2 linked regions of the Tribolium castaneum genome follow. The protein of the gene in region 1 binds, or shares a complex with, the protein of each later gene. Links are inferred from orthologs where the notes say so. Each region holds a gene or a part of one and is shown in the gene's direction. Other genes may lie near its edges.

Region 1 (4,422 bases):
TTGAAAGTATAAATTACATTATTATTTTGAAGTACATAAATAATTTATATTAGCTAATTTTAAGAGAAAATGCGACGTTGGCGTTTTTATACGGACTATTTATAAAAGAGTGTAGGATCTCAGGTGGTTCTGGAATTTGAATTTGCCGCATTTAATTAATTTATTTCTATGAAATTTCAGAAAATACCAAATTTTATGTACTCAGGCAATCAGTAAAACCAAATTTTTCATATACTAACAATGTTTGTTTTTTTTAAAGGAAACGGCAAACTTTTAATACCTACTACGATCATTTATAGACAGATTGTAGTTTTGAAACAACTAATACTTCGTTTAATATTTAGAAAAAAAGTTTATTTTTTATTGAGATATGTCACATAGCAATAATTTCATTTTACCAAACTTAAAAATGATAGAACGGCAGAAAAATATTCATGTATAAAAATATTCAAAATTTTGCTGAATTAATAAAAAGCATTAGAAAACACCTTGTACCCAAACTTTGTATGAAAATGAATTCATGAAGGAATGTTTTATGTGTACTTCTTTTTTCTTTATTTGCGCAGTTGTTTTTTTACAGATGATATCATTTTGTAAGTTATTTTCAGCTCGGACCCCGAACAATCTGGGGGCCACTGAAAAGTTTATTATGCTACAATCTTATAATTAATTATTATGTAATTATTTTTTGAACACACCGTTGAAAACATGATTTGCTTGGACGTATTCATTTTTGTGCTGAAGTGGTCCAACAAAAAACAGGGCAAAAAGGTGAATTTTAAGCGTTTTTAAAAGGTGAATTTTTTTGGATTGAATCATTTTAATTTTAACTTTTAACAAAGGTACCTTGAAAAACGGGATAGATTTGATTAAAAAAAGTGTATACTGAACAAAATGTTCGGAAGGAGCCCTACTAGTGTATCGTATATCCCATTTCAGTTCATAGTAGAATTTTGCAACAACATATTTGCATTTTTTGGAGTGAAATGGCCAATTTCTTGGCTCAAAATTTGTTGCTGGGATTTAGTTGAACACAGAATTTTTTCTTATAAAGAAAGAAACTCTCGATTTTGTGCTTTTTTCACCCCAAAAAATCAAATGCCCTGGTGAAACATTCTACAATAGAAAATAGGATATAATAGTAAGTGGCTAACATCACATTTTTTACCAAAATTTAAATAACTTACACTTGAGCGCCTGCCGTGCGACGCATTAAACGTATGCCTCCTATTTTCCCCCTCGAAATCCTGTCTGCTCCTCTTGAACGGTTCACTTTTCCGGTCATCTTCTTTCCTCAAATTGCCACCCGAGCGTCTAAAGTTCGAGTTTGAAAATTCTCTTGTGTTCCTCTTCCTCGACTCAAAATCTCCTTTTTCGGACTCATCCCTTGGTTTTGAGGAGCTTTTGGAGGTGTCAGCCCCTGTCTGAGGCTTGTTGAATTTTTTGCGCCCCATTTTGAAACAATTATCTTTACTACGTGTAAATCACACAACTGCCACGCCACAACTGATACGGCGATAAAAGTGATGCGAATGCAGAACAGGGGGAAGCCCCCGACTGCGTTGTGAAACGCAATTTCGCGCAAATCCCTGTTTTACCGGCACGTTCGGTCGGTAACGCAATAGAATTGAATTCGCGTGATAAAAGCGAAAATTGCGTAATCGTGACCTCTTCACGCGTTTATTTATAAGTGGGTGAGTCAGATTTGAGTTTATTTACCTATCTTTTGCACCAATCACGAATCACGGTCTGTTTTTAGCTGAGGAAAGCCACATCAGACAAGAGTCCACCCAACTGTCAAAACTATAAAAGTTAACCTCAAACGTTTCAAGTTTCGATTATCAGTGAAATGAGTCTGCAGTGGACGCTAATCGCCGGGTTTCTCTACGTGGAGATCGCTATCGTGCTTCTATTGGTGCTGCCAGTGGCTAGTCCCAAGCGATGGAACGCCTTTTTCAAGTCAAGGTTTCTGCAAGGGTTGCAGAGACAGGCGGGGATGTATTTTATGATCCTGTTGGCGATTCTTGTCCTGTTCCTGCTTGACGCCATCAGGGAAATGCGCAAATATTCGCAAACAGGTGATTATTAATTTTTTATGAGTGTTTCTAGAATTCACATTTCTAGAATCCGAAGAACAACACAGTCATTTGGACCGCGAAATGCAGGGGAGTATGCGGCTGTTTAGGGCGCAAAGGAACTTCTACATCTCCGGATTTGCCTTGTTTTTGTCACTGGTGAGTAAAATGCAATCAACTCAAGTACTGATGATTGCACAATAAAATTAGAAACGCGCTAAGACCACAGGGCAAGGTCCAACTTCCAGGAATGTAATCGTGACTCAGAGCGATTAGACGCTGTCTAAAAATTTGTATAAAGCTAAATTATGCCAAGGACAAATTTTTACGGGGCAGTGAAATTTTGTGTTTGTATTTATGACTTTCAGGTGGAAATGCTAATAATTTCTCATAAACAGGTAGAATTCTTTTGTGTTTACAAATTTCACCATAAAGTCAAGGGTTTGGGTTAATGGTTTCTGGGAAAGGGATTAACTGTTGGGGGTATGGTCACTAAGCTGTGAAAGTAGTCTTCTCAAATTAGTTTTGTGTTTACTTTTGGATTAGTTTTGGTGTCTAGTAATTACAGCCCATTTTGTTTATTTAATAATTTCCAACTTTCAAGTTTATATTTATAAAGAAAAAATAATATTGCACATTAATTTATAAATGGATTTACATTTTATTTGTGTTTATTTAGATTTTACATTATTGGAAGATGACTGAGTTAAAAAAAAAGATTTATGTTGGTTTTCTTGAGGGAGGTTACTCTACAAAAAAACATATACATCTATTAAAATATTGTTATTACTATTACATATTTTCAAGTGGCATAATATCTCTTATCTAAGCCTAAAATGATTTTTTCCTGCTTTGTGTTATCCAACACCATTTAACTACTTGATAAAACATAAGTAATTTTTCCATTCTAGTTTCATTTCTAATTTTTTCGTGCTGTTAGAGTTTATGAATTTTTTAACATTTTCTCGCAGCGTATTTTGGATAATAAGAATTGGTTAATAAGAATTGCTCTTACGAAATTTTTGTAGTTCTTGCTTGTATTTCAAATATTAATTTGGGTTTATTCAAAATTTATTTGACAAATAACTAACGACCACCGAACGACTCAGGAGGAAAGTCAAAAATTGGTGTTTTTGGATGTCATCATCGCTAAATTGCGAATATTTTAACGAAGGATTTCAAAAATCGAGTCCCTGGTGATCTTATAATTTAAAAATCGAGTATTTCGCCAAAGCTATTTTTTTATTGCTCATTAGTTAGGTAACACAATTCAATTTTTAATAAATATTTAAATATTAAATGAGAACTAAGTTATTATACAGAGTGTTTTATTACTGATGATTTTGTTCTAAATTTGTGTTGGTCGATTTTTATTAATTGATTTTTGAAAAATTTAATTATTTTTTAATAATCGCAAGTTTTTTAAAAACATGTATTATTGCTCAAAATCTAAGATTCCTGGAAAAGAGAGATTTTTACCACTTTAAACAAAAATGTTCAAACTATAGGGCTATATTTTTTTTAGCTCATGGCAACCAAGAAAAAAAAATTAAGACACGCTCCCCATAGCAACGTGTTTTAAATTAAAATGTTCTAACAAAAAAATCTTGTATAACATTTACGAAAACGCTTAGAGTTCTAGGGTGTCTAGGTATAAAACTCGCATACGCTCGTTGCATAACCACAACCCTCGAACTTTAAGCTTGTGTTTTCTTTAAAAAATTAAATTATTTCTAAAATTAAGCAAAATCGACTAAAACATTAGTGCTAAAAACTACTTCCAAAAATACAAACAAAAAATAGTTTGTACTGTATCTAATTTCAAAAACAGGCGAGTAAAAAAAGATTAATTTTCTCTAACATTTAAAAGTTAATAATGGACTGTATGTTCCAATAACTATAGAAAAAATACGGTATACACCTTTTTTCTTAATTTTTTTAGGTGATTCGTCGTTTGGTGATCCTGATTTCATCCCAAGCCGCCTTGTTGGCTCAATCTGAGGCTTCAATGCGTCAGGCCCAAAGTGCGACAACAGCTGCTAAGAGTTTATTGGCTCAAAGGGGCGAAATTGCCCAAAATGACACCAACGAAGCCCACGATAAAGAGGTAATGACCGCATTTTTGTCAAAAAAAACATGCTCATGTGTTTCACTAGATTTCCGAATTGAAGAAGAAGATCAAAGATTTGGAAGAAGAGCTCGCAACTGAAGTAAGAGATAAAAACGCAATGAAGAAACAATCAGATAATTTGGCCAAAGAGTATGACCGTCTTGCTGAAGAACACAGCAAATTACAGAAGAAAATTACCATCAGTGGCGGTGATACTGAAACCAAGAAAGATAACTG
Region 2 (3,075 bases), on another chromosome or scaffold:
TTATCATATTTGTAAGAAAAGATGTGATATTTGATGACTGCAAACGTTTAGATGCCAGTTAGGTGTACATAGGGGACTTGGTGGTAGTTATTTTTGTTTCAAGCGTTTTCTGATTGTGTTCAAGTCACTTCTCGATTGGGTTTAGATGTTGCGGTCATAAATACCACTTCCAATAAGAGATTTGATATTTTCAATATACTTGAAAATATTTAAGTCGGTGTACATACATGTAACATGCAATATTTCTATATATTTTGTATATATTCTAAATTTTAGACTGTAGAAGAGTATTTATTAATTTTTTATTGTGTGATCGACTATACAGATAAGAAATATTGCATTCCAAGAGCTGAGTGATTGTGACCGTTTACGCCAATAGGATTTCTTTCCAACACGTTCCCAAACGTAACATTTCCCGTTTTTTTCTCAAGTGGTCTAGTGCTGAACACAATTGATGAACTAGTCATAGTTAAATTATTATACCTAGAAAGAGTGAATGTTTTTGTAATTTTTGTGTGTAAAAACAAAGTGCATTTTATATTGTAAATAAACATAGTGTTTTGTACATATGACTTTAACCTTAACTATCAATATTTACAATAAATAAACTATTTCAGATCTTTATTTGCGTTTTTTATTTCTTTTAGTCATATCTGGATGTCTTTATATCAATAAAGAGCAACGCAAGAATTTAGTTCAAATTAAGTTCAGTTCTATTGTGCAAGAAAAACTAATTTCTTTCAAACACATTACCCAAGCCATACCTAAGACTATAAAATTCTATAAATAATTTGAAATATGTACTTGTAATCATTAACTTTTGTTTTACGTGCAGCATTAAAAAGTTATAAACCAACGAATGGATGGAAACACTTAATTGTAAATGTCGTAACATAAATGACCTCGCCACATGAAAAAAACATGGTGTGAATCACTTTACATGAGTTTAGCATTTGGCTTAGCCGTGCTATAATAATCCTTCGCAATTAACTGAAGTGTTAATTAAATTAGCTAATTCATCTTAACGTCTGTTTGTGTAAGCACTTGGCACATCTGCAGAATCAATTCTATTGAATTTCGCCTTTTACTGCGAGCAGTTTTGTGTTTTTTTGCAGCCCTAACATTTTTTTAATAAATAATACTCATTTTTTAATTTGTTGATCGATAAAAATAAAGGTTTCAGTGTTTTTCAAATTGGAGAACTGCACCCTATATTTAGTTTAGCATCCGGTTGGAGAGATGACGCTTGAAGGGTTGTTTTCTGTTTATCCAAACCCAGTGAAAGAACTCAACTGTAGGGTTGTTTAATAATTAATAAGCTTGAAATAAAATCTTCAATTCAAAAAGAGTATTGTTGGTTGCGGGTTCGCGTTACAGTTTCCTGTCGTGACAGCTGTGAGTGTTGGGATCGCATTTAGAGGTCACTGAAGTATAAATATTGAAGTTTTCACGTTGTCATCAAATGCGATTTTCATTCGACATTCACTGTTTTTCTTGAGGAAAATCCGTAAGTGAGGGTGAACATGGCAGGAGTTTTGACTGAAACGGTGGAACCCAGCGACCTAAAGGTGAGCGCCTTCGGAACCGCACCAAGTGCGCCATTCGCTCTGTCAACTTATCAATGAGTCATAATTGTTAATAAACACAAGGATAATTGCAGAAATTCGAGAAAATTTACCACGAACAGCTGTACAAAAACGACGTAACGCCTAAAGCTCAGTTCGAATACGCTTGGTGTTTGGTCAGGAGCAAGTATCCTGCCGACATACAGAAAGGGATAATTCTGCTGGAGGACTTGTACAAGACACACGAAGAGGGCCAACGGGACTATCTGTATTATTTAGCAATTGGGACGGCGAGGTTGAAGGAGTACACCAAAGCTCTCAATTATGTTAGGTCATTTTTGTTAATTGAGCCAGGTTTGCACTTTGGAATGTTTATGTAAGGTTTGGAACTTGGCTGTTTTAGGTAATCAGCAAGTCATTAGTTTACAACAAACGATTAAGAAGAAAATGGAAAAAGAGGGCTTGGTGGGAATGGCTATGGCTGGGGGGGTTGTTCTTGCTGTGGGTGCCATAGTTGGCGTGGGAATGGCTATAGCTAGCAAAGTTAAGTCTTAGTGCTTCCCACATATCAAATGTGATAGTGTTACCATTTTTACTTGTACCAAATTGTATTTTTTGTGTTTGTTTCGTGATTACATGAGTCTGTGTTATCACTTGTTTTATTAATTGGCATTTAATTTTTGGTTCAAACTTGGATAAATTAAATGTAACACTCGAAAAGGCACACGCTATTTTTATAAGGACTTTTTCATTTCAAATTATTTGTGTATTTGTGTAATTTAAAACAAGAAGTCAATAGGTGAAGAATGTATATTTTGCTCATTACTTCTTGTGTAGACTGTCACCATTATGCAAGCTGTGAATAGGTTGTCATTGATTTTTTAAGTTTAGTTTAATTTCTTAGTCATAAATCACTGTATATTGCTAAATAAATAATAAAGTTTTATCTAAATATTGTGTTTTTCTAAAGAAAATCTAAAATATGCTGAAATTATCTTCACCACAATACACTTGTATATTTGGTTGCATAGCTGTCAAACCAAGCTTTGCATTGATTTGAAATATCTATACAAACACTTTTTATTACCATTTTGATCTTAAATCTGAATTGACCAAATGTCTATTTTTTTCATTTACAATCCTATGGTATACTTGCGTTTACTTACACCAATTATTTCGAATTCATCGTAACTTTTTACCTTATGGAGAACAGAAAAGGAAAAAACAGCTTCAACAAACTATTTGAGAAAAAAATTGTAACAAAAAATCGACCAATAAATCACCATGTTAAGTATGTAAGTACTCGTATACAGTTTAGAGCTAAAATATCCAAAACTATAATTTTTAAAAATTATTTTTTTCATGAGAAAAGTCGGAAATATGTCTCCTGTAAAATATGGATATTTTTCACTACAGCTATGTCACTAATTTATCTGAGTCAGTAGCCTGGATTTTTTAAATTTTTGAGATTTTTTGGCCACAAGGACAAGCACATTTTTAAACAACCTAT

Evidence for each region.
Region 2: the proteins of B-cell receptor-associated protein 31 (region 1) and Fis1 are in contact, whole or in part, in a crystal structure (PDB 8XWX), measured with the Homo sapiens proteins. The link is inferred for Tribolium castaneum from reciprocal best matches to the Homo sapiens genes BCAP31 and FIS1. Residues at the interface, in NP_001132913.1 of Homo sapiens: Asp224, Leu227, Glu228, Ala231, Lys232, Ala235; in NP_057152.2 of Homo sapiens: Arg52, Val56, Glu59, Glu60, Pro63, Lys64, Lys89.

The regions. Positions count from the first base shown.
Region 1 is NC_087394.1:25,805,156-25,809,577, forward strand, and holds the start of B-cell receptor-associated protein 31, read left to right. Parts: upstream 1-1,564; 5' UTR 1,565-1,694; intron 1,695-1,759; 5' UTR 1,760-1,849; coding exon 1,850-2,078; intron 2,079-2,124; coding exon 2,125-2,234; intron 2,235-4,017; coding exon 4,018-4,182; intron 4,183-4,231; coding exon 4,232-4,422. Other genes in the region: uncharacterized protein LOC661444, read right to left, coding at 1,188-1,454. UniProt on the Homo sapiens protein: Functions as a chaperone protein. Is one of the most abundant endoplasmic reticulum (ER) proteins.
Region 2 is NC_087398.1:2,702,447-2,705,521, reverse strand, and holds Fis1 (mitochondrial fission 1 protein), read left to right. Parts: upstream 1-1,394; 5' UTR 1,395-1,523; coding exon 1,524-1,568; intron 1,569-1,660; coding exon 1,661-1,919; intron 1,920-1,968; coding exon 1,969-2,120; 3' UTR 2,121-2,517; downstream 2,518-3,075. UniProt on the Homo sapiens protein: Involved in the fragmentation of the mitochondrial network and its perinuclear clustering. Plays a minor role in the recruitment and association of the fission mediator dynamin-related protein 1 (DNM1L) to the mitochondrial surface and mitochondrial fission.